Oryzias latipes: one gene and its partner. The protein of the gene in region 1 purifies or fractionates together with the protein of each later gene. This does not show direct contact. Links are inferred from orthologs where the notes say so. Each region holds a gene or a part of one and is shown on either strand. Other genes may lie near its edges.

Evidence for each region. Proteins that work in one complex are often made in the same cells at the same time.
Region 2: the proteins of psme3 (region 1) and psma1 purify together in Homo sapiens (affinity purification with mass spectrometry; 5 studies listed by BioGRID and IntAct, with this or other methods). This does not show direct contact. The link is inferred for Oryzias latipes from reciprocal best matches to the Homo sapiens genes PSME3 and PSMA1.

Annotation. Positions count from the first base shown.
Region 1 is NC_019877.2:17,754,070-17,764,452, reverse strand, and holds psme3 (proteasome activator complex subunit 3), read left to right. Parts: upstream 1-3,878; 5' UTR 3,879-3,997; coding exon 3,998-4,039; intron 4,040-5,005; coding exon 5,006-5,038; intron 5,039-5,148; coding exon 5,149-5,211; intron 5,212-5,357; coding exon 5,358-5,462; intron 5,463-5,543; coding exon 5,544-5,592; intron 5,593-5,674; coding exon 5,675-5,793; intron 5,794-5,952; coding exon 5,953-6,089; intron 6,090-6,203; coding exon 6,204-6,258; intron 6,259-7,784; coding exon 7,785-7,871; intron 7,872-7,945; coding exon 7,946-8,026; 3' UTR 8,027-8,522; downstream 8,523-10,383. UniProt on the Homo sapiens protein: Subunit of the 11S REG-gamma (also called PA28-gamma) proteasome regulator, a doughnut-shaped homoheptamer which associates with the proteasome. 11S REG-gamma activates the trypsin-like catalytic subunit of the proteasome but inhibits the chymotrypsin-like and postglutamyl-preferring (PGPH) subunits.
Region 2 is NC_019864.2:7,542,640-7,553,136, reverse strand, and holds psma1 (proteasome subunit alpha type-1), read left to right. Parts: upstream 1-5,223; 5' UTR 5,224-5,395; coding exon 5,396-5,398; intron 5,399-6,237; coding exon 6,238-6,282; intron 6,283-6,383; coding exon 6,384-6,485; intron 6,486-6,722; coding exon 6,723-6,826; intron 6,827-7,903; coding exon 7,904-7,992; intron 7,993-8,155; coding exon 8,156-8,226; intron 8,227-8,315; coding exon 8,316-8,445; intron 8,446-8,594; coding exon 8,595-8,674; intron 8,675-8,749; coding exon 8,750-8,854; intron 8,855-9,473; coding exon 9,474-9,536; 3' UTR 9,537-9,739; downstream 9,740-10,497. UniProt on the Homo sapiens protein: Component of the 20S core proteasome complex involved in the proteolytic degradation of most intracellular proteins. This complex plays numerous essential roles within the cell by associating with different regulatory particles.

The DNA of each region.
Region 1 (10,383 bases):
TTCTCCTTTTAAATCACTGTCAATAAAACCACCGCGAATGATACATTTGTAGAGAATAGACACTGTCAGTTTGTATTGCCTGTATGGCATGTAGGAGATTTTGGAAACAGAGGCTTAAGATGGACATGAAATATGGCTTTTTAAGTCACTTAGGTTATGGGATGTTGGATAAAAATGTCATAATTAAAACACCACTGGGTGAGTTTAAAAAAATTGTCATGGTGGACCTAAAATTTAATTTCGACATTAGGAGGGGACAAGGAAAAAATGGCATCATACGAGGGGCTCCAGACGGATTGTTTTTTTTTTTTAAGCACTCTTTTCTCTTAATTTTTGTAGATTTGGTCTCAAGACAAATGAAAAAACTTTATAGCATTTTGTTTGTGGACAAGTTGAAATATGATGGGTGGTACATACAATCTTCTCCAATTCTAAAATGACTTGTATAGGCCTCTCATTTGTTTTTAATTCTGGCTCTGAAAGAGTCAGTGCCTCACCAGCCACAACCTTCACTGCACGTCACTGCTCCTCCATGTGTTCCATGCATTGTAATGACATAGACAGACACTGCTCCATGTTGCGATCAGGCTGAAAACATTTGGTGGCCCCTCCCACATGTGACTGGGGCGTCACGCTTATGAACATATTTTTGGACAGGTGCTAAGGCAAGAGAAAAGTATCATAAATCTCCAGGAAATGTGGTGTAAATGGTGGTGTTTTGACCATCAAAATTTCCAGTTTCCAGAGCAGGTTGCAGGTTGACTCTCACCCGTCTATCGTTTTTATTGTTTTAAGCATCTTTTTAATGTTTTTAAATCCTGTAACATCTTTCATGTTGCTTTTACTGATCATTCTCTTGTGGTTTGGGTCTTCTATGTGAAGGATTTTTAATCAAGAAGTGCGTATTGGCATTTTATTTCGGTTTTAACGATTGATGTTGGTTTTAAGGATGTTTTGAGGTTCTTTTGGACCCATCTTAGACAAAACGTTTTAGTTCTCTTTGGCAATGGTGGTAAGAGTGAAATTAAGCTTTTGTGCCAGCAGTACACTCACATTACTGTTGATTTATTAATGACTTGGAGGCTGATATGGTGGGCTTGAAATCTTTGAGTGAGTCCACTGAAAATCAAGGATATATTGAACTCCTCAAATCGAGGAAGGGGGACTCTGGATGTTCAGGGAGGCACTGGTTCAGTCTCGGTTTCAGGATGTCTCTGAAATGGATGCTCCCTCTAGTTTATTTTTGGTCTGGAGAAGAAGCATGGACAGATGAAGGTGATGCACTCCTTATTGTGTGACACAGGAGAGGAGCTGTTTGAACTTGACCAGAGCACATTGGGCGAGCCAATGACTTGCTGTATGACGACATGCAGAAAGCATGGACGGAAAGCTGGGCTCCAAACACTGGCTGTGGACTTTTATTCCTCATTTTACACCAGTGAGTGTGATGATGATGGCAGCCTGTTGAAGGAGTTCTGCAGTGGACTGCCTCAAGTGTCTGAGGAGATGAACTCTCAGCTGGATTGGCCTCTCCTGCTTCCTGAACTGCATGCTGACCTTCAGAGCATGAAGGGCCGGAAGGCTCCTGGGATCAATGGCCTCACTGTGGAGTTTTACAAGGCTTTCTGGGACATCCTTGCTCCTGAAATCTTGGAGGTATTCAATGACTGTCTGCTCTCTGGCTCTCTGATGTCCTGTCACAGAGCTGTTGTTGCTCTCTTGTCAAAAAAAGGAAATCTCCAAGACATAAAGAACTAGCAACCCGTCTCTCTGCTGTGTGTAGACTACAAGATTTTATCCAGGGCTCTCTTCAATAGGCTGAGGGATGCTGTGGAGCAGGTTATCTACCGGGACCAGACCTACTGTGTCCAAGGTAGGCTCATGGTTGATAACGTTTTTCTAAATAGAGATGTTTAGGAAGTCTCTCAGCTTTTGGGTCTACGATCTGGTCTGATTTCACTGGACCAGGAAAAGACTTTCGACTGAACAGAGCTGTAAAGTTATTGAGAAGTTTGGGTTCAGCACTGGTTTCATTGCTAAAATTTGAGTATTTTATGCTGAGATGGAGAGTGTGCTGAAGGTAGAAGCAGTCTGTGTGCTCCTTTTAGAGTACCGTAGGTTGCGGCATACGGCAGGGCTGTGTTATATCCGGCATGCTCTACGCTCTCTCCCAGGAGCCCCTCCTCCATGAGATCTGTGCAAGTCTTGAAGGTTTGTGTTTTCCTGGTTTCAGTGGAAACATTTTTTTATCAGTTTATGCTGATGGTGTTATTGTTTTTGTGAAACATCAGGCTGATGTGAATGTACTGCTGCACACAATACCTGCTTTTTGTAAATTGTCATCTGCCAGGGTTAACTGGCACAAGCCTGAAGCCCTTGCCGTGGGAAGGTGGCAGGACGGTCTCCGGGCTCTCCCTTCAAATGTCATGTGGAAGAATGATGGTGTAAAGTGCCTGGACGTTTTTCTGGATGGTCCTGCCATGGTCAAAAAGAACTGGGAGGATGTTTTCAACAAACTGGAGGGGAAGATGCAGCTAATCAACTTCTTTTGGGACAGTCTACACTGGGCGCCACAAGGAATGTTTTTCTACCTAGGGAGAAGGGGGGACAGGGCCTAGTGCACCTGGTCAGCAGTACTGCCACCTCCAGGATCCAGGTCCTGCAAAGGTTTTTGACTGGGCCAATGAATTTGATGTGGAGGGAACTGGCTAGCTGCATATTAAAATGTGTGAGCTGTCTGAGGGTGGATGTCACTGTTTTTAATGGACACCAAGCTTTTAAATTTACGTAGGTTGCCTCCCTTTTATCAGGGTGTTTTTAAGTCTTGGCACCTTTTTAATGTTGTGAAACAAAAAAAAAAAAAAACTCTCCCTCTCTGTTTTGGCTCTTGAAGGAGCCTTTGATCTTTGGGGCGGGGTTAGACATTTGTGATGACCTGCCCGCCCCTGGACTTCAGGGTCTGGAGTTCTGACTTTGGAACAGCTAGTGACTGCAAAAGGTCACAATGCATTGCGTTTGAACAACTTCTGAAAAGCAGATGTATTTAAATGTATGTTATAAAATAAATTTTAACGTTTTCATCTTCAGAACACAGTGGATTTATAAATGGTTGTCGCAAAATGCTCATATCAATGAGATTTTCACATTGTGAAATCGATTACATCATATACGCCGTTTAAAAAAAGAGTGAGTATGGTGTCCGAATTGCTTTTAAAATCCAGGGCTCTACTTAGTCGTGCACTATATCGTTTTTTAGTAGTCAGGGATAAGGGTGGATCTGGACACAGCCACCGATTTTTGCTTCCGGAGTGGAATTCCGTCTGCTATTTATTTTTCTGCAGCTAGGTACTGGAAAATTAACAAATCTTCCACCACCACATTAATGAACTTTTTTCACCTAGACACAGGCCAATGTATTTGTTAGGTATGAAGAGATAACAGAATTACAGGGAAAATAGAACATTAGTTATTAAAGATTATCAATATCATTTTATTATAGAGGATATTCTTAACAAGTTGGTATTTTTTTATTTTTAAAAATTTCTCTATATTTTAACATATTGACGTTTTTCTCAAATTCTGGTTGCATCTCCAAAGTAAAATGAAATTGCCAATACTTGTTTTCAACAATTTGATTATACTGTTGTACGCAATGTTTGGTAATATTATATACAATACATATTTGTGCGCATAAAAGGCACAATTCCCGTTATTGTTGCTAAGACTTTTCTAAATATTTTTATATAATAATAATAACAACAACATCAACAATAATGATAATCCTGAAGTAAAAATAAAAAGATGGATTCCAAAACTTTGAAGATTTACATTTGTAAAAACGGTTTATCAATAAAGATTTTGGCGGAAAAAGTGCAACTGTCGCGTAATTACGTCATCTTTAAGCTACACAAGTGTGGCTGACAGCAAGAAGCCACACGTTTACAGGAGACTTTATTGTTGCTGGGATAAACGTCCTATCTACATTTGATCCCAGAAGATGTCTTCACTCCTCAAAGTGGACAGTGAAATTAAAACCAAGGTGATGTTTGTCTGAACGGCCCCTGCGCGTGTTATTGTGGGAATTAGCCTGCTAGCATTTTGCGGCATGTTGTGGAGTCTTTGGTTAGCTTTAGCGCTAGCTAGCAATGTCTAACCGGTATGTTTCCCGCCTGCTGCAATTTATCTGTCAAAACTTATCACAGGTGCTGCGACAGACTGGTAAAATGCTTCAAATGGGTGGAATTAAACGTCTTATTGCGTGCTTGTTATGTTTAATTGATAGTTTGAGACAGAAGACCACATGTCAGGAAGGCCTTAGCCTCCACTGTGGCTAAGCTACAACCGACCCACCGGCGTCATCATGCTACAACTTTATATCGACTCCTTGTTGCCCTGATCAGTATTTAAACTAACTTTAAAGAGCGTGTCGTTTATCAAATTTAAGCAAATGAAAAAAATGCGAACTACGGAGAGACTTATTCATTTAGAGACTCTAATAATATAATAGTTCCCTAAAGAAATAACTACAATAAGTTTAGGTTTAAAAAAAAGGTTTAGTCTGTGTTGGTGCACATGAATATAAACCTTTTATAAGTAATATTTATGGTTTATTTCTGTAGCTTTTATATGTACGTTTCTATCTATGATAGCAAGATTAAAGAAACATGTGCTTTTTAGATTATGTTAAATCTGTTTTATTTTACTGAAATATTGATTCTTTTTTCTTCTTAAAACTGCTTTGATCATATAAAAGTATGTAGTTAATCAAAAGTTGATCTTACTTGCATTCTTTAATCTTAAAAATAATAATAGTAAAATAATCTATCGTTATTTTACTGTAAATTTTATCCATAACATAATTAAACTTTGAAGAATGAAAATCGATTATGGCTGTGTTTTATTTTTTCAACTAACCTTATAGTAGAAAATAAATTCTCACTGAGAAACACATGTTCGTGGGATGTACTGATGCTGAACTTTTGTCTAAATATTTATTATTTTACAGGTTGATGCATTCAGGGAACGGATCACAGCAGAAGTGAGATTTGCATTTGGAATACTTTTTTTTCTATTTTTTTTTTATTTAAACCCCCTTTTTTAAAGAACAGTATTAGTATTAAAGTTTTTTTCTATTTGCTTCTCTCTTAGGCAGAGGATCTAGTTGCAAATTTCTTTCCAAAGAAATTACTGGAACTTGATTCTTTTCTTAAGGTATGTTTTATCCTTTGTAATCTTAGTTGTTCAGTATGAAACTTTCTTTAACTACAGTTTTGACTCTAACTACTGTTGGCACAGTAAAAAAAAAAAAAAGTGTAATCTGATTACAAAAAAAGAACAAATTTGGTTCCCCCCCCCAGGATCCAAGCATAAACATTGTTGAGCTGAAAGACATACACTCAGAGATTAACCTGACAGTACCCGACCCCATCCTAATCCCAAACCTTCACGACGGACTGGAGGCAGTGAGTTGTGGATTTTTACAGCACTTCCTTTTAACTAATTTGTGTAGAAAAACTTCTAATTTTGGGGAATCTTTTCCACAGCAAAACGCCAAAAAGAGGAAGCTTGAGGATGGGAGTGGAGAGGACAAAAGTAAGGACTGTTTTCATTTTCAAACTCATGTCAGAGTGGACTGTGTGCCTGGTAACTAACTTAACTTTCTTTTATTTCCAAGTGACCGGAACCAAAGTCTTTGTCATGCCTGGTGGAATGATGAAGAGCAATGGGAATCTTGTTGATCTCATAGAAAAGGTCAAGCCGGAGATCAGGACGCTCATAGAGAAATGTAACACAGTAAGTTGCCTTTGCATGTATTAATGTCTTAACGCTTAAATGTCTACAGGCACCTCTGCATTGGCCCTGATCTGAAGTCTTATGATAAAAAACTGGGTGAAAAAATGTTGGCAACCCACATTTTTTGTTTTTGTCTTTTCCTCTAAATTCAATCTTCAGGTCAAAATGTGGGTTCAGCTGCTCATCCCAAGGATAGAGGATGGCAACAACTTTGGAGTCTCAATTCAGGAGGAGACAGTAGCCGAACTCCGAACAGTTGAAGGAGAGGCAGCCTCTTACCTCGACCAAATATCGAGGTAAATCAAACACTTTAGAGAGCAAAATACGAACTTTGTAGCATCAGTGCTTAGTTGTTTTGGTTTTTTTGGTCATGTTTTGATTGAATATGTTCTTTTATTCTCATTTTCTAGGTACTACATAACGAGAGCAAAGCTGGTTTCAAAAATAGCAAAATATCCGCATGTGGTAAGTAAATGTCCTTCAGTAGGGATGTGGATGAAAATGGTTTGGTATTTTGTTCCTGTTGCTGTAAAAAAATGGATGCTTTTAGAAGCATTTCAAAATAGTCATTGGAAAGCTAGGGATTAATAATTAATTTCTGTAACTAGCTGTTTAAAAAAAATATTGATTTGGAAAAACACCCTTCACTAAAAACTGAACATGTTCCTGTAATTTTTTTGAGCAATTTGTTACAAGCTACTTATTAAGAATGTATCAGGAGTTTTGCACTGAAGCTCAGAGGAAGATAGGGTTATTGATAAAAAAACAAACAGATTTGCACCGCACAGATCAGTAGTTTCTAAATAACAGAAATGCATAATTGAGAAAAGTAGTGATGGAGTGAGGAAGTTCTGGTGCTCCTTTTTAACTAAATAGAAAAAAATTAAAATGCTTTTAAAAGTTACAATGAGGATATCTGGTGGCCAAACCTAGGTACTGCATTAAGTCTGAGCCACACAGAACATTTTTGATTCCATTTCCCATTAGCAACAAAATTGAACAAAACTTCCTATTGATTCATTTGTGTTTGTTAATTAGTTATCAGTTAGTTATTTGTTAGTTTGTGACTGTAAAGCGCTTTGGGCCTTCGAAGAAGGTAGAAAAGCACTATATAAGTATACGCCATTTACCATTATTTAGCTAAATAAATAAACACTTGTTGCTAGGGACCTGAAGCCTGTTGGCAGAGCAAAATTCAAGCTTAAAAGCAGTTAAAAGCAGTGGAATACATACTGCTAAAAAATACTCATTAAAAAGCAATAGATGGATTAGTTGCATTCCATAAATCTCGACTAAAAAACAAGGTCTAGCTGTAACAAAGTTGTGATTTGATTTATTGGGGTGAACTGTAAAAGTCAGTCTGCAGAGCGGCAGTAATTCCCCTCTGAGTTGTAGGTGGGACTTTTGGCACTGAGTAAGTACGCCCGCACTTCCCGTCACCTATCTGTTTACATACCCTCCTGCTAGTTTACAGCCCCTCACGCCCCCCAACCTAACATTACCCATGCAACAAAGATGACGAGCAGTATTGGAGCTATCCAGCCGCACAGTTTTGAGCTGGATGCCGGCTCGCACGAGGAAAATCAAAGATGTAGATGGATCTAGTCGTCTACAATTAATCAGAATGGGGCAGAGCAGAGAGGTTGTGGCCTGCCCAACGTATCTTCTAAGTCACACCTACAAGCTTTCTCCAACGGCTTCTGTTTTACAACAATTTGAAACAAGAAACACTCAGTAAGGAAATTTTAATCTTGATATTTTTTATTAATGGCCTCCATCAGAAAAATGGCACAAGAACATGTTAAAAACACCAAAAACTTCTACATAAATGCATCACTTTCACGATTACAAGGATATTTTTACAGTTTAGCATCACTTCAAAGTCAAATATCCTTAACTCCTTGTTGTTTCCACTTGCAGTTGAAACCAGATTAACCAGTTATTTAATATAAATTACTTCTGTCATTTTATCTTTCCTCTTTACAAACCAGGAGGACTATCGGCGCACGGTAACAGAAATTGACGAGAAGGAGTACATCAGTCTGAAAATCATCGTATCAGAGCTCAGAAATCAATACGTATGTTGCCGCCTGGGTAAAACTTTCCACTCAGCTCTGATGCTAAAATAATCCACATTTGTTTCTCCATCCAGGTAACGTTGCACGACATGATCCTGAAGAATATTGAGAAGATCAAGAGGCCAAGAAGCAGTAACTCAGACGCATTGTACTGATGGAGATCGCCGCCCCGTCCTTTCAGTCTCGTGTTATGCCTGATGTTGAACTACAGTAGCCTGGCTTTTTTTTCTCAAAGTTCAAGACATTCATCGTGTTCAATACAATCAGATGTTCAGTATGTAAACAAAGCTACATTTTTGTTCTAATTGTAAAATATTTTGTTGTTTTAAACCGTTCAAAGACTTAAATATCCTCCAAGGTAATGGATCATAAAGCGCTATGTATTTTTTAATTTTAATTAAATTTCTCGTCCTCAGACTGTTATAGTGCCTCTGTTTGTCATATTTGTTCTATGTCTCAACAGCAAATTCATTTTGTCTTGTGTCCAGCCTCTGGTGTTTTACGAGGAACTGCAACACAAAGTGGGTCTGGAGTTTTAGAGTTTAGAGCACTCGTTAGGCTTATCAGATTGAGGCTTTTTAGTGGAAATGTCTGCCACCAAAGCATCGCATTGTTGGCACAGTGCTGAATAAAATCCTTCTTCGTATGGTCCTGAATTTTTTATTTTGTTTAAAAAGATTTTCCATCCAAGTAAGACCTGATCAAATCCTTAAAATGATCGACAACCATGGAGGAGTGACAACAGTGCCTCGTGTTTCGGGAATTACTTTAAAAAATCTGACCAATTCCAGCAGATCCATAAATCACTTTGTGGATTTCTTCTGGGGGCTTGTCCAGGAAGAAGTCCATCCTTGCCCTGAAGTTAAACTTTAGGAATCTCCGTAACACTGCAAAGGACAAATCAAGAACAGAATATAGTTTCATGTGCTAAAATTATTTTTCCCATTTTAATAATGCTTACATTTGCAGCATTTTTTAAGTAATTTGTTGGCTCTTTATTAAACGTTGTCCTTCAGAACCCCAGCTTGGCAGCGGATCTGAAGCATAATGCCTAGTAAAGACTCGATCATTGTTACGACACATCCAAAACATTTTCTTTAGCTTATTACGTATTTATTAACATTTGACCCAATTGATGACACAAAAATTGTACTATGTAAATATGTACATATAGTTAGTTTAATCAAGTTATTGTGTTTTATTTCAAAGGAATTGAAATGACTTGAGGATAAAAATATTGACTTTTTGTAGGTGCAGGTTTGTTTTGAACTTTGGGTGAAAATTATTTAATTTTTTTTTAATCCAATGTTCATTTGTAATTATGAAGTTGTTTTTATACAAACTTCATAAGTTAAAGGAAAAAAAGCCAATTTATAAAGCCATTTATAAATTTCTGTTTCTATTTTTTATCTTTACTTTTTAGGTTGTTAGTGTGGTACTGGGTGATAAAATAAAAATTGAAGCTTAATTTGTTCTTTATTATATCAATAGGAATTATCTATTAGGGTTTGTATTCTTACATACTCTCATGATTGCTAATTTTTAGCTCATAAATACACTATTCGCTTATTGCAAATTTATTAAATTTAGCTTTTCTTTTTTACTTACAGAAAGCCCTTTAAATTGTTGCTGATAAAAAAATCAATTCTTACTGTATATACTGTAGTAAGGTTAATGTGAAAGGAAGTCTTTAGCCTGCTTAACCGCGTACTAGTGGCCTTGTCATTATATGGTACATTATATGGATTTTAATAGTTTCATTTTTACTGAATTTCTCCAATTACACAGAACTAATCTATGTTTATGTGTTTCTAAAGCATGCTTTTATTCACAAACCCGTTCACTGGGTTTTTCTGTTTTGTCCAGCAGGTGGCGCTCTTAAGCTTCAGTTGATGTAGTCATTTTGTTGTTGATTTATTTTCTGCAGGAGAATTTCCATCTCAATGGGAATTCTCTCCATTGCTGCTCAGTGTTTGATCAGCGTAAAAGCCTTATTATGAAAGTTAATTAACCCTTGTGCTATCCTAGGCACTTTAACATTGGGAGTTGGGTCATCTAGACCCACTAAAAAGTGCGTTGAACCTTTTTTCTTCAATGATTTGTGATCTTCACTGGTGTCCATGGATTACATGAAATCCTCTCCACCTTTATCCACCTTTGTATGTTAGGGAGAACACGTCAATGTAATGGTGGGGTCATCTAAGATAGGACAAGGGTTAAACTACAATCAATTGGTTCTTTATGGTAGAAACATATCATCGTCATTCAAAATGATTCAAAAAATTACTTTAACACAAGAATTGGAAAAAAAAACTTTAATAAATATTTTTTGCTTGTTTTTGTAATTGATTTTAAAGGAAAAAATAGTTTATTCAAAAAACAGTTTGCTTTATTTTTTTAAAATTATTTTTTTTAACAATACTAAAACATGTCTCTTTTTTAGAGGGGAAAAAAAAGTAGTTTTTTTTTTTTTTTGTCAATTTTGTGCCCAAGAGCCTTACTGAAGCCCTGG
Region 2 (10,497 bases), on another chromosome or scaffold:
ATCTATCAATCATTTCAACTGTGTGTGAGTGTGATTGTTTGTTTTTGTTTATTGGTTTTTTTTTGTTTTTTTTTTGGAGGAGGGGTTGCTGGAGCCTATCCCAGCTGGGCAAAGGCAGGGTTCACCCGGAACAGGTTGCTAGTCTGTTGCAGGCCAACATGGACAATTTAGTATGTTGCTGGACTGTGGGAGGAGCCTGGAGAAAATCCACACACATGTGCGCCCATGTGTCATAGGTTATGTCCAAATTCCTTCACTACGCACTATATAGTGCACTAAAGTGCATTCACAATTTTGTAGTGCTGTCCGAATCTACAATTCCTAAATCCAGTGCCATAGAAATTTCCCAGAAGTCTCAGCGAAAAACCAGTGTGCATTGATGCTCACTAGATTGGTAGACTTAGACCACAATGCATTGCGTCAGAACAAATTTTGACAAATTTATATTTTATATTTTAAGTAAACCATCACTGTTTTTATATTCAGAACACAGCGGATTCTTAAAAAGCGGTTGCAACACGTCAGGATTTGAACCAGGACCCTCTTTCTGTGAGGTGAGGGTGCTAACCACTACACACCGAGCAGCCTGTTTGTGAAATTCAGAAAGGAAAAACCTCTGAAATATCAAAGCAAAACCACTGTTGCAGACGCCCTGGAGCAAATCAAACTATTTATCCATTCTTAGAAGTATTCTGGATTTCATGGAAATGCATGAAGTGAAAGAATTAAAAGCAATAAAAGTTATGATGGAAGCAAATTCAAACGCTTCAAAATTTTGTTTGAAACTTTTGAATGTTGTGTAATGCGCGTGTTGCTCTGGGGGAATACGTTGTAAAAAAATGACCCTTTGGTGTCTTTTCTTGTCCGTCACATGACGCTGTGTCACACAGATGGACTCCTGCTCCTCATGACCACAGAGAGGGTTAAAAAAAAACGGTTCGGAAAAAAGGAAAGCTGCCATCAAAGGAAATCTTCAAACTTCAGTTCCAGGAGCTGAGGTCAGCCTCAATCAGAAAATTAATGCGATGCGCTCCGGTTCTGCGGCCCTATTGTGTACACATTTCACGACATTTGCGCCCGGAAAAAGATTATAAAAATGATGATTGGAGTTCCTAAAATGACTCCGTTTAACTGCATTCATAATTCCATTTCAGCTTTAGGTGAAAGGAGTTCGACTGACTCAGAGGCTGCTGTGCATTCATGCAAAGATCAATGGAATCCCTTTTTTTGGCTTCATACCTATTCGCTGTCTATTCGCAGGCGTAGAGACTTCTAACACAAGTAAGCACACAATGTCCGGATTCAACTGAGCCAGAGAGCTTTTTGCCACCAAAATGCCGCATAAGTGCTTTCATCAACACCAGGGAAGTGACGGACGGAAGTGAACTACATCTCTGCAGGACTCTTCTGACGTAAGAGTTTGGCTTTTAGCCGTCAAATGTTCCCTGTTCGGACTCCTGGAACCTCTTCATTTCCTTTGCTGGCTGCACGGTTGCAGTTAACCTCTGACCTGGAATGTAAAAAAAACAGCTGCCAGACGAATGCAAACCTTGGCAAAGATGCCACCTTCCCCAAACATGAGCCCACCCGTGTAAATAAAAACAAAAAAAAAGGCATATTAGCAATGAAGGATTTAGTGCAACATGTGTCTGCATGCATGAAGGATGTGTGGCTGTGGGGGGGGGATTCTGTGCACTAAAAGCACATTTGAAGGCACTCCTCCAAGTCCAGCTTTAATCCTCCAAGTTTGGGCTCACAATGTGGCTTGGACGCATCATGCAGTGACTCAGGCTGCCCTCCATTTGAAAAATTAAATGGTTGGGTGGGGGGGGGGGCTCTTTGGCAGAGTTTAATAAGGGGAAAAAAACCTGCTGAGCTCAGCACAGCCTCTACAATCTTAATCACAGAGGAGGAGGCTGCTGGAGCGTTGATGTAATGGTTGCCGTCGTGCTGCTGCTGCTGCCGCCGCTGCTGCCTTGGCAGAGGAGCGGATCTCGTCAGCACAGTCTCACTAATTCACCCCTCCTCTTTTCCACGTTCCCCCCCTCCTGGATCAAAGATACATCAGATATCATCAACGGAGTGTGGAGGGGCAGAGGCACTGTCTATGGAAAACAACAGAAACAGAAAAAGAGGATCAAAAGTGGAGCCTAATAAGAGGGATCGCCGAAAGCTGGAAGTCCCCGCCTGAAATGTCCCGTTCCCCTCCCCACGCGTGTCCGTCATGTGTCCATGGTTGAAACTTTGTCAGCATTAAGATCCTGACATCAGAATAAATCAGAACACGGTTCATGGAAAAGATTCGATTTTTTTTTCTTTATTTCAAGCATTAATTGTAGTCAATACATTTTAAAAAATCACACATATTTATCAAACTCCTGACAGAAATGATGAAAAGCATAGATGAAAAAGGAAGAAAGACAAAGACACACTTAAGTCACATTTTCTTAATTAAATATAGTGATCATTAACTAAATTCAAGCAGAGCTTGATTTATTGAATGCTTGAAAAAGAGTTGGAAGAAGCAAGTTTATATAATCCCACCCCGACTGAGTTCATTCATTTTGTAGTTTTACATAGTTTTTGAGGAAGTAAAGAAAAGAAGAATGACGCCGTATGTGGCTCATCTATTGACCCCCCTCATTTGGCATCACCTTGAATGAGAAAAAAACTGAAGAGCGTTTTCACTTAACTTTCAATTAATCCAGCCATCAACTTTGATGCTTGAGGATGCTGTGTTATTGCCATAACATTACTTTTCTCAATTTAAATAATGACATTATTTTAGAAAACTTGTAATAGTTAAAGAGAAAATCAGTCAACTTTAAAAGTCTCTTGAGCAGCTCCTCAGGGATTCTTGATAAAGTGGCATCAGTGGAAATGTGGCTGAGGAGAAACCAGACAAACAGACACACAGCTCATGTTTCAAACATGTCACACTCTACGACAGGCAGAGTTGATTCTAAATTACTAACTGAAGCTCTCCTTTAATCAGCATTTAAATAATGTATTGATATTTTTGTTTTCTTTTAAACTGGCTTTATTCAAACAAGAAAAGCCTCTCATCAGGTTAACTTGATCTCTCTGAAAGCGCAGACAAAAGCACAATAAGGTGCAGTTTACCTTTTTATGGCTAAACCGGATTTATCTGAGCTGACAAGACAAGCAACATAAATGCAAACACACAATATGTTTGCAGAAAAACAACTTGAAGCACAAAACCGTGCCATTTCTTGTGACTGAATGATGACACAGATTTTTCATGCCTTTGTCAACATTTTTTATTTTCTAGGTCATTTTCTAAAACAATGTGAAAATTACTGGAGATTAAAAACTGATAAATGCACCTGAAACTCAAAGTGTAGATCAGATGGTAGTTTGTGACTAAATCTTTACATTTTTCCCAAAAAAAAATGCAGGGAGCATGCAAACAACACCTCCAATTGACTGCTGCCATCTAGTGGTCATCTGAAGACACTACCATAGTTGAGCCAAAGGAAACAACGACTGAAGTAAAAGAAAAATATAAAAAAGAATGTTCAAACTTAAGTAATGTAGAATTTTTTTTATCCTCAGAGTAATTCTTACTCCTTAAGATGTAACTGTGTTTTTTAGCCTATCCAAACACAGATTTGTTTTTGCACAAATCTAAATGTGCTAAAGGATTATAGTTTCTTTCAACAAACTGCATGAACGCACTTGAGAAATTCCTCCATTATTTGTTACTTTAGGAAAATACTTATTTACAATGGAAGTGTAAAGACAGCAGGAAAATGGAAAAGGGGTGGGCTTTAATAAACTCATGCCCACATTTTGTTAGAAATATTTTCATTCTTTCGTTTTTATTGTTATGATGTCATTTAATGTTTTTATTTATTTATTTATTTATTTTTTATTATTTAAACAGTATTTCCTTGCTGGAATTGTATCTGCATGTTAGAAGATAAAATCAATAAATTAATCCCCCCAAAAAGTTGTTACCACAATACAAACTTGAATGAAGAAACAGTCAACCCTGACGTTGGAATTAATAACATTGTTTTGTTTTGTTTTGCTTCAATACTCTTTATTTAGGATTCTTTTTACCAAGAAATGTTGATGCAACCTCTTTCTCCATTTCTCGGCTTTCCTTCTTCAAATTCATGTGTAAAGAAACCGCAGCGGGGTAAACGGTGACTATAACACAAATATGACAAATGCTGCTGCTGTTGTTCGCCTGTCAGCACATCCCTTCAGGGGTCACCTCAGAGATCAGCTTTCAAATAAATAAATAGACTACAGGGATGATGTGGAAATGATGTGAATTTAACCTGTCTGCTCTGAAAGCTCGTTAAGTAATTGAACACAAACTTCCTACAAAATCACCAGAGGGTGAAATATTCAGACTGAAAACAATATAAAATCATGCAAAACTTTATTATTTATTTGCAGATTTTTGCAGGTTTGCTGCACTGTTTTTTATCTTTGTTTTAGTTGATTAAAGTTTTAGAACAATAAAACTACTAACAGTTTTCTTCATGTCCAGATACAACTGTCATTAAATCAGTGTCTTTAGCACAATCACATCTCAACCATGTGGTCCAGATAGTAAATTATGAAATACCACCATTGCAGAATAAGATGCCGAAATCAATCTTTGGTTTGAAGCATGTGCAGTGACATTTGGATTTTCTTTTCCTTTGGTAAAGACATGCATGTTTCACGCTTAACCTAGTACTGTTGCACAACTAGACATGCTTGTTTTAAAAATATTAAACATCAAAATTGATAGAAAAACATTTACTCTTTAGATACTATTTGACCATAAAGACTTTTATAGAATTTGTTTCTTGTGAAATTATTGTTTATTGTTTTTAAAGTGATGGTTTTTGTACCCCAAAAAATGTTTAAAAGGAAAAAAAAGGGAAAAAATAAGGAAAAGAATTATTAATATTAAGTATTTCAGTGGGGGTTCAGTGTCTTGCCCAAGTATTAAGCATCTTACACAATATTTTAAATAATATGGTTTTTAATTAGTCTATTAACTGGTATGGACGCCATTAGGTTAGTAACGTTTTTTTATATTTTTAAAGTTTAGAAGAATTGTCTAACTAGTATTTTAATTCTGACGTATTACTTGTGTTTTGTTTATTATGTTGACATTTAAACCACGAGTCTGTTTGTTTGTGTTTTAATCCTATTCTATTCTATTCTATTCTATTCTATTCTATTCTATTTTATTCTGCTCTATTCTATAGCTCTGCTGGTTCTGTTCGGCTCTTCAAAGGCATCGATCATTGAAATCATCGATCGTTTGAAATCGGCTTTCTGCTGCTTTTCCCTGCCGTCTGCCGAGGAACCCAGGAAACTAAATCGAGATCCCGGCGCAGGCGGAGGAAGCGAGACTTTAGCAGAGATGGTAAGTGTGAGGGAAATTTAACGACAAATCCTCCGTTCGGTACCAGAAAACGTTTCTAGGAATGTAAGAAAACGCATTCGATCCTAAACTGTTACTTTTTAAGCCTCAAGAAATTGTTAAAATATTTCCATGCTAAAGTTAGCTTAGCTAAGTTGGTCTGCACTGTGAGTAAGCAAAACAGCCGCTAACATTAGCTTTAAGTATTAGCTCACTCTAAACAATAGAAGTTAGTTAAGTACTTTAAACTGTTAAAGTAAAACAGGTTTAATAGTGAGAAAACATTGCAAATAGCAGATTAGAAATGTAATATTTTTGGAATACCTTGTTGCGAACAAGCTAATCCTAACAGCTAGCTAAAAGTTAGCATCGGGAGTCCAGTCATGTCTTCACTTTCGTTTTTCTTCAGCTCTTCGCTTTCTTCTAGATTTAAAAACACAACGTAGTCCGTCAGTTATGGAGTTACAGCCATTGGGATCATTTCACGTATCATGATGATGATATTCATATTAAATCATTTGATTTTATTACAGATAATAAGAACCGAACTAAATTAGTAGAAGCAGCAGGTAGCTAGCTGGTTTGCTGCATCCACTGCTGGATTCAATCGTTTTTCTTGAGGATGACACGAACAGGTTGATTAATTATTCAGTCTGTAGTAATTGAAACGCGTCCTTCCAATCCTTATGAGACGTTCTGACCGCGAACACGGTGCAGTTGGTTTGGAGTCTAGAGACGAGAACACTAACCGTACTAATGCAGGACAACTATGTAAGCCTGGCTGTAGATCATGAGAAGGATGCTGTGTTATTATCATAACGCGCGTTTGTGTTCCCTCCTAGTTCCGCAATCAGTACGACAACGACGTAACGGTATGGAGTCCTCAGGTAAGCTGCCCTTTACTTACTGGAGCGTGTGTTGTTGTTTGTGTGTTGGTTTTGTCCGGCTGTGTGTAGTTTGACTGTTTGGTTTGTCGGTGCAAACGCAGGGCCGCATTCATCAGATCGAATATGCCATGGAGGCTGTGAAACAAGGTTCTGCAACCGTCGGACTGAAGTCCAGAACTCACGCGGTCCTGGTTGCACTTAAGGTAACGTCACTCAACACGACTAGAACTGCTGCCAGCCTCCATTACGCTGAAACGGCTCTTTTCACGTGCTCAACTCTCCTTTAGTGTTATTTGAGCCTTAACCTCCATGACAGTGTTTGGTTACACCCATTAATATTCATACTAGCCGGCACTTTCCTGTCTTTCTTATTAATTAAAACATGTCGTTAAAGATCTGTAACACACCACACATTACTGTTGTGCCTTTTTGGTCTGCAGAGAGCCCAGTCTGAGCTGGCTGCCCACCAGAAGAAGATCCTTCATGTTGATAACCACATTGGCATCTCCATTGCTGGACTGACGGCGGACGCTCGGCTGCTCTGGTGAGTTGCAGCGACTTCCATGGACCTGAACATTTTTTCCATGTTTTCTTGTGTTAAACTTCTTGTGTTTGGGGAGAAATGTCACTTTTCATGGGTGTCAACTGTACATCTAAACACTAACATTGGTTAATTTATGGCGTTACACAGATGACAAACAGATATAGAAATCACAGGAGAGCAAGGCCCTCTACAAGCTCTTGGTAAAAGTATTTAATATATGAAAGACTGGATGTGCCTCAATTACTTCAGCTGAACAAACACAAAACTGAGGTTATTGCCTTGGCTGATGTTATTCGCATGTATTTACTTGCAACCAGCACAAAAACTGCAGCCAAGATGCGCATTGCCTGCACGCATTTTAAGTGCATCCATTTTTACATTTTGTCGTATTTAAAATGAAAGTTAAAGCTACGCTCCTGGATTGGTGAACAGTGTTCTCTGCGTTTGATCCATCCACTGGAGAAGCGATGAGCTGCAGAAACACATATTTGGAAAATGATGAATAGACACTTTTTGTTGTGTTTGGGGCTAAAGAGAAGTGGTTTGATGTCATATAGAGCTTCAATCTATTCATCTAAAAACCACCAACTAGGCCAGAAACATGGGTGTAGTCATGGATACAGTCCTATGTTTTGATAAATGCATTAAGGCAGTCACCAAATCTGCAGACTAACATCTTAAAAATAGTTCAAGTATTAAAGATCGGATGTCTTGAACAGAGCTTGGAGAAACTAGTTGATGCATTCACGTTTAGTGGACTTGATGACTGTGACAGTGTTTTTACAGGACTAGCAGAAAAACCAATCAGGAAACTGCCTGTAGAGCCGATGAGAGCCCAGTTCACTTTTCTCCTCTCTAATAATGAGAAACAACCAACAGGCAGCTCTCATTCTCTGCCCGGACTACAGAATCCGGAAACAAACAAACGTTGCAGTATGGAGCTCTGTTCTGTAACGATGAAGAAGCAGCTGAATGTTTGCTGTTGGCCTCATCATTAGCAGCATCTACAGTCAAGTGCTGAGCACGAACCTGAGAACGGCCTTTTGTCTGAAGACCAAAACCTTTTCTGTCTTGCAGTAACTTCATGCGTCAGGAGTGCTTGGACTCCAGATTTGTCTTCGACAGGCCTCTCCCCACATCCCGCCTCGTGTCTTTAATCGGCAGCAGTATCCTCTAAAAATACACTCTCCTGTTCAAGGAGCTACGTTACAAGAAACAAGAAAAAGCTGAGTTTGTAAAACTAAGTTGGACAACCAGGAGTTGGGTCTTTTCTGTTAGATTGCTTCCAGAAATGGAAACGGCAGCAGTGATCCTTGACTGAGTTTACAGAAACCCAAATCCCAACACAGAGGTATGGAAGGAGGCCCTACGGAGTGGGACTCCTCATTGCTGGCTATGATGTGAGTACGCTCATGGTTTTAATCTTATTTCTCTCTACATTCAGACAAAAAAAAACCTAAAGCTAACCGTTTTTTCTTTTCTGACTCAGGACATGGGACCTCACATCTTCCAGACCTGTCCATCAGCAAATTACTTTGACTGCAAAGCCATGTCCATCGGAGCGCGCTCCCAGTCTGCACGCACGTACCTGGAGAGGTGCATGGACAAGTTTTCTGACTGTAGGTTTGAGTTTGGAGTTCTCTCCTTCAGCATGTTCAGATGCAACACCTAAAGAACGTCTGTAGTTTCTGATGATTCCTATTTAAAACAATCCTTCAATGAAAAGATTAGTCTGAAATGAAACTGATGAATGTTTTTCTGTCGTCAGGTAATCTGAACGACCTGGTCCAACATGGCCTCCGCGCCCTCAGAGAAACTCTTCCAGCTGAGCAGGACCTGACCACCAAGGTACGCAGCCCCAAGGCCCCCTTATCAGTGTCACAGAGCATTTATGCATGTTCTGAACCTGAGACTCCCTTTCAGAATGTTTCCATTGGCATTGTGGGAAAAGAAATGGAGTTCACCATCTATGATGACGATGATGTTGCTCCGTTCCTGGTTGGACTGGAGGAGAGGCCACAGAGAAAGGTGCAACAGAGAACTTCTTATCACCACCATCAACATCTACTATTTGTTTACGCATCTTAAGCTACGTTCACACCAAACACCATTCTTGCATCAGGAGCGTCCACTTTCAGAGTGGTCAGTGTGCCTTTTGAGCACGTCAGCCAATCAGGGACTCCGCTTTAGCCTGCATGGTGTTGATGAAGATGCAGTCCAAAACCAACATGGACGAGAATCTGATCATTTTCATCCTGAACGTTTTTTATTTTGTACCCCCTCGGACTAAAGCGAGACAGCAAGTCGTCAAACTGGGTCACAGAGAAGCGCTGAGATCGTCTGTCCTTCAGATTAGATGGTGGAAGAGTCTCTGAATGAACCCAAAACATGGAGACGGGATCACAGACACTCTTTAAAAGGAATCGACCTGATCTCTCAACATCAGCCGTGTCTTCCACTGTAAATGAGATATTCTGTCAATGCTTCCAGGCTGGAAGTTGCACACAGTAGCTCCTCCCACACCACACGCTGCAGGAACATCTAGTTTATAAATGGCTTTTTGGCAGTCAAGCAGCACATTTGCTTAGGGAATCGAGCTCAATGCAAACACAGGTGACCATGTAACACATTTCTGTTTGTGTTCCAGGCTGTCCAGCCTGCTGATGATCCTCCTGCTGGAGACGCTCCCGATGAGCCAATGGAGCACTGAGGCAGGAACTCGACCCCACATCCGCATCCTGTCCATCCCGAACCCACTGAGACTTGCTGCAGCACAGAGAATTTCCTCTAGAGGGAAGCTGTCCTAATGTGCCACTGTTTCTCCACAATAGTCTCTACTGACATCAACATGTGATGTTTCTTTTGTATGGGTCAAAGTTCACCATCATACAAGTAATAAATTGTCTTTTTTGAGTTTTGTGTGCACTCCTTTCTAGAATACAAACACACGGGTTTAAGGATGTTTTAGGAAAAGTAAATGGAAATTAAAGCCGTGAGCAGCATAGTGAGGCCCGCAGGCACGACCCACCGTCTTCACTGCCACCCCGCATGGAGAAATTACTGAAAAAACACTTCTTCTTTTTTTCAAAAATAGTGACTTCTCTGTCAGTATTTTACCATAGCAAGCGTTTTAGTTTTTGGTCTCCTGACAAACAGATCTATTTAATTTTGAGAAGATATGTTATAGAAAGATAGTTTAAAGCAGATCCCTTATTTTGATGTAATTATAGTTTGAGAAAACGGTATTTCTAAAGCAGAAATCGTTCAAATAAATGAGGTACTTTCATAGAATATCATAGTTACTGGTGTTCTTTTTGCCATTTGGGGGTTTTGATGTTACTATATTTTAGCAATTGTATGTTTTGCAGCTTTAAGGAAAAGCGTAGATTGTAGGATTGTGTTACTTTTAGCAATTATCCAAATTCTTTTTTAGGACCAGGAAGTCCTTAATGGCAAGTCAAACTAGGGGTTTGAATGACAAATCATGAAGCTCCAATTAGTCTTAGTTTCTTGATTAAGAAGTGAAGAACTAGCTGCCAGAATGTACCAGAATTCATCTAAGACCATGTATTTTTCAAAAATTTCGCTCCGCACCCGCCATATCGCTCAAAGAAAAGTTCAGGGATTTTTTCCATTGCCTCACTTTCATCACTGGAAGAATCTACAAAAGT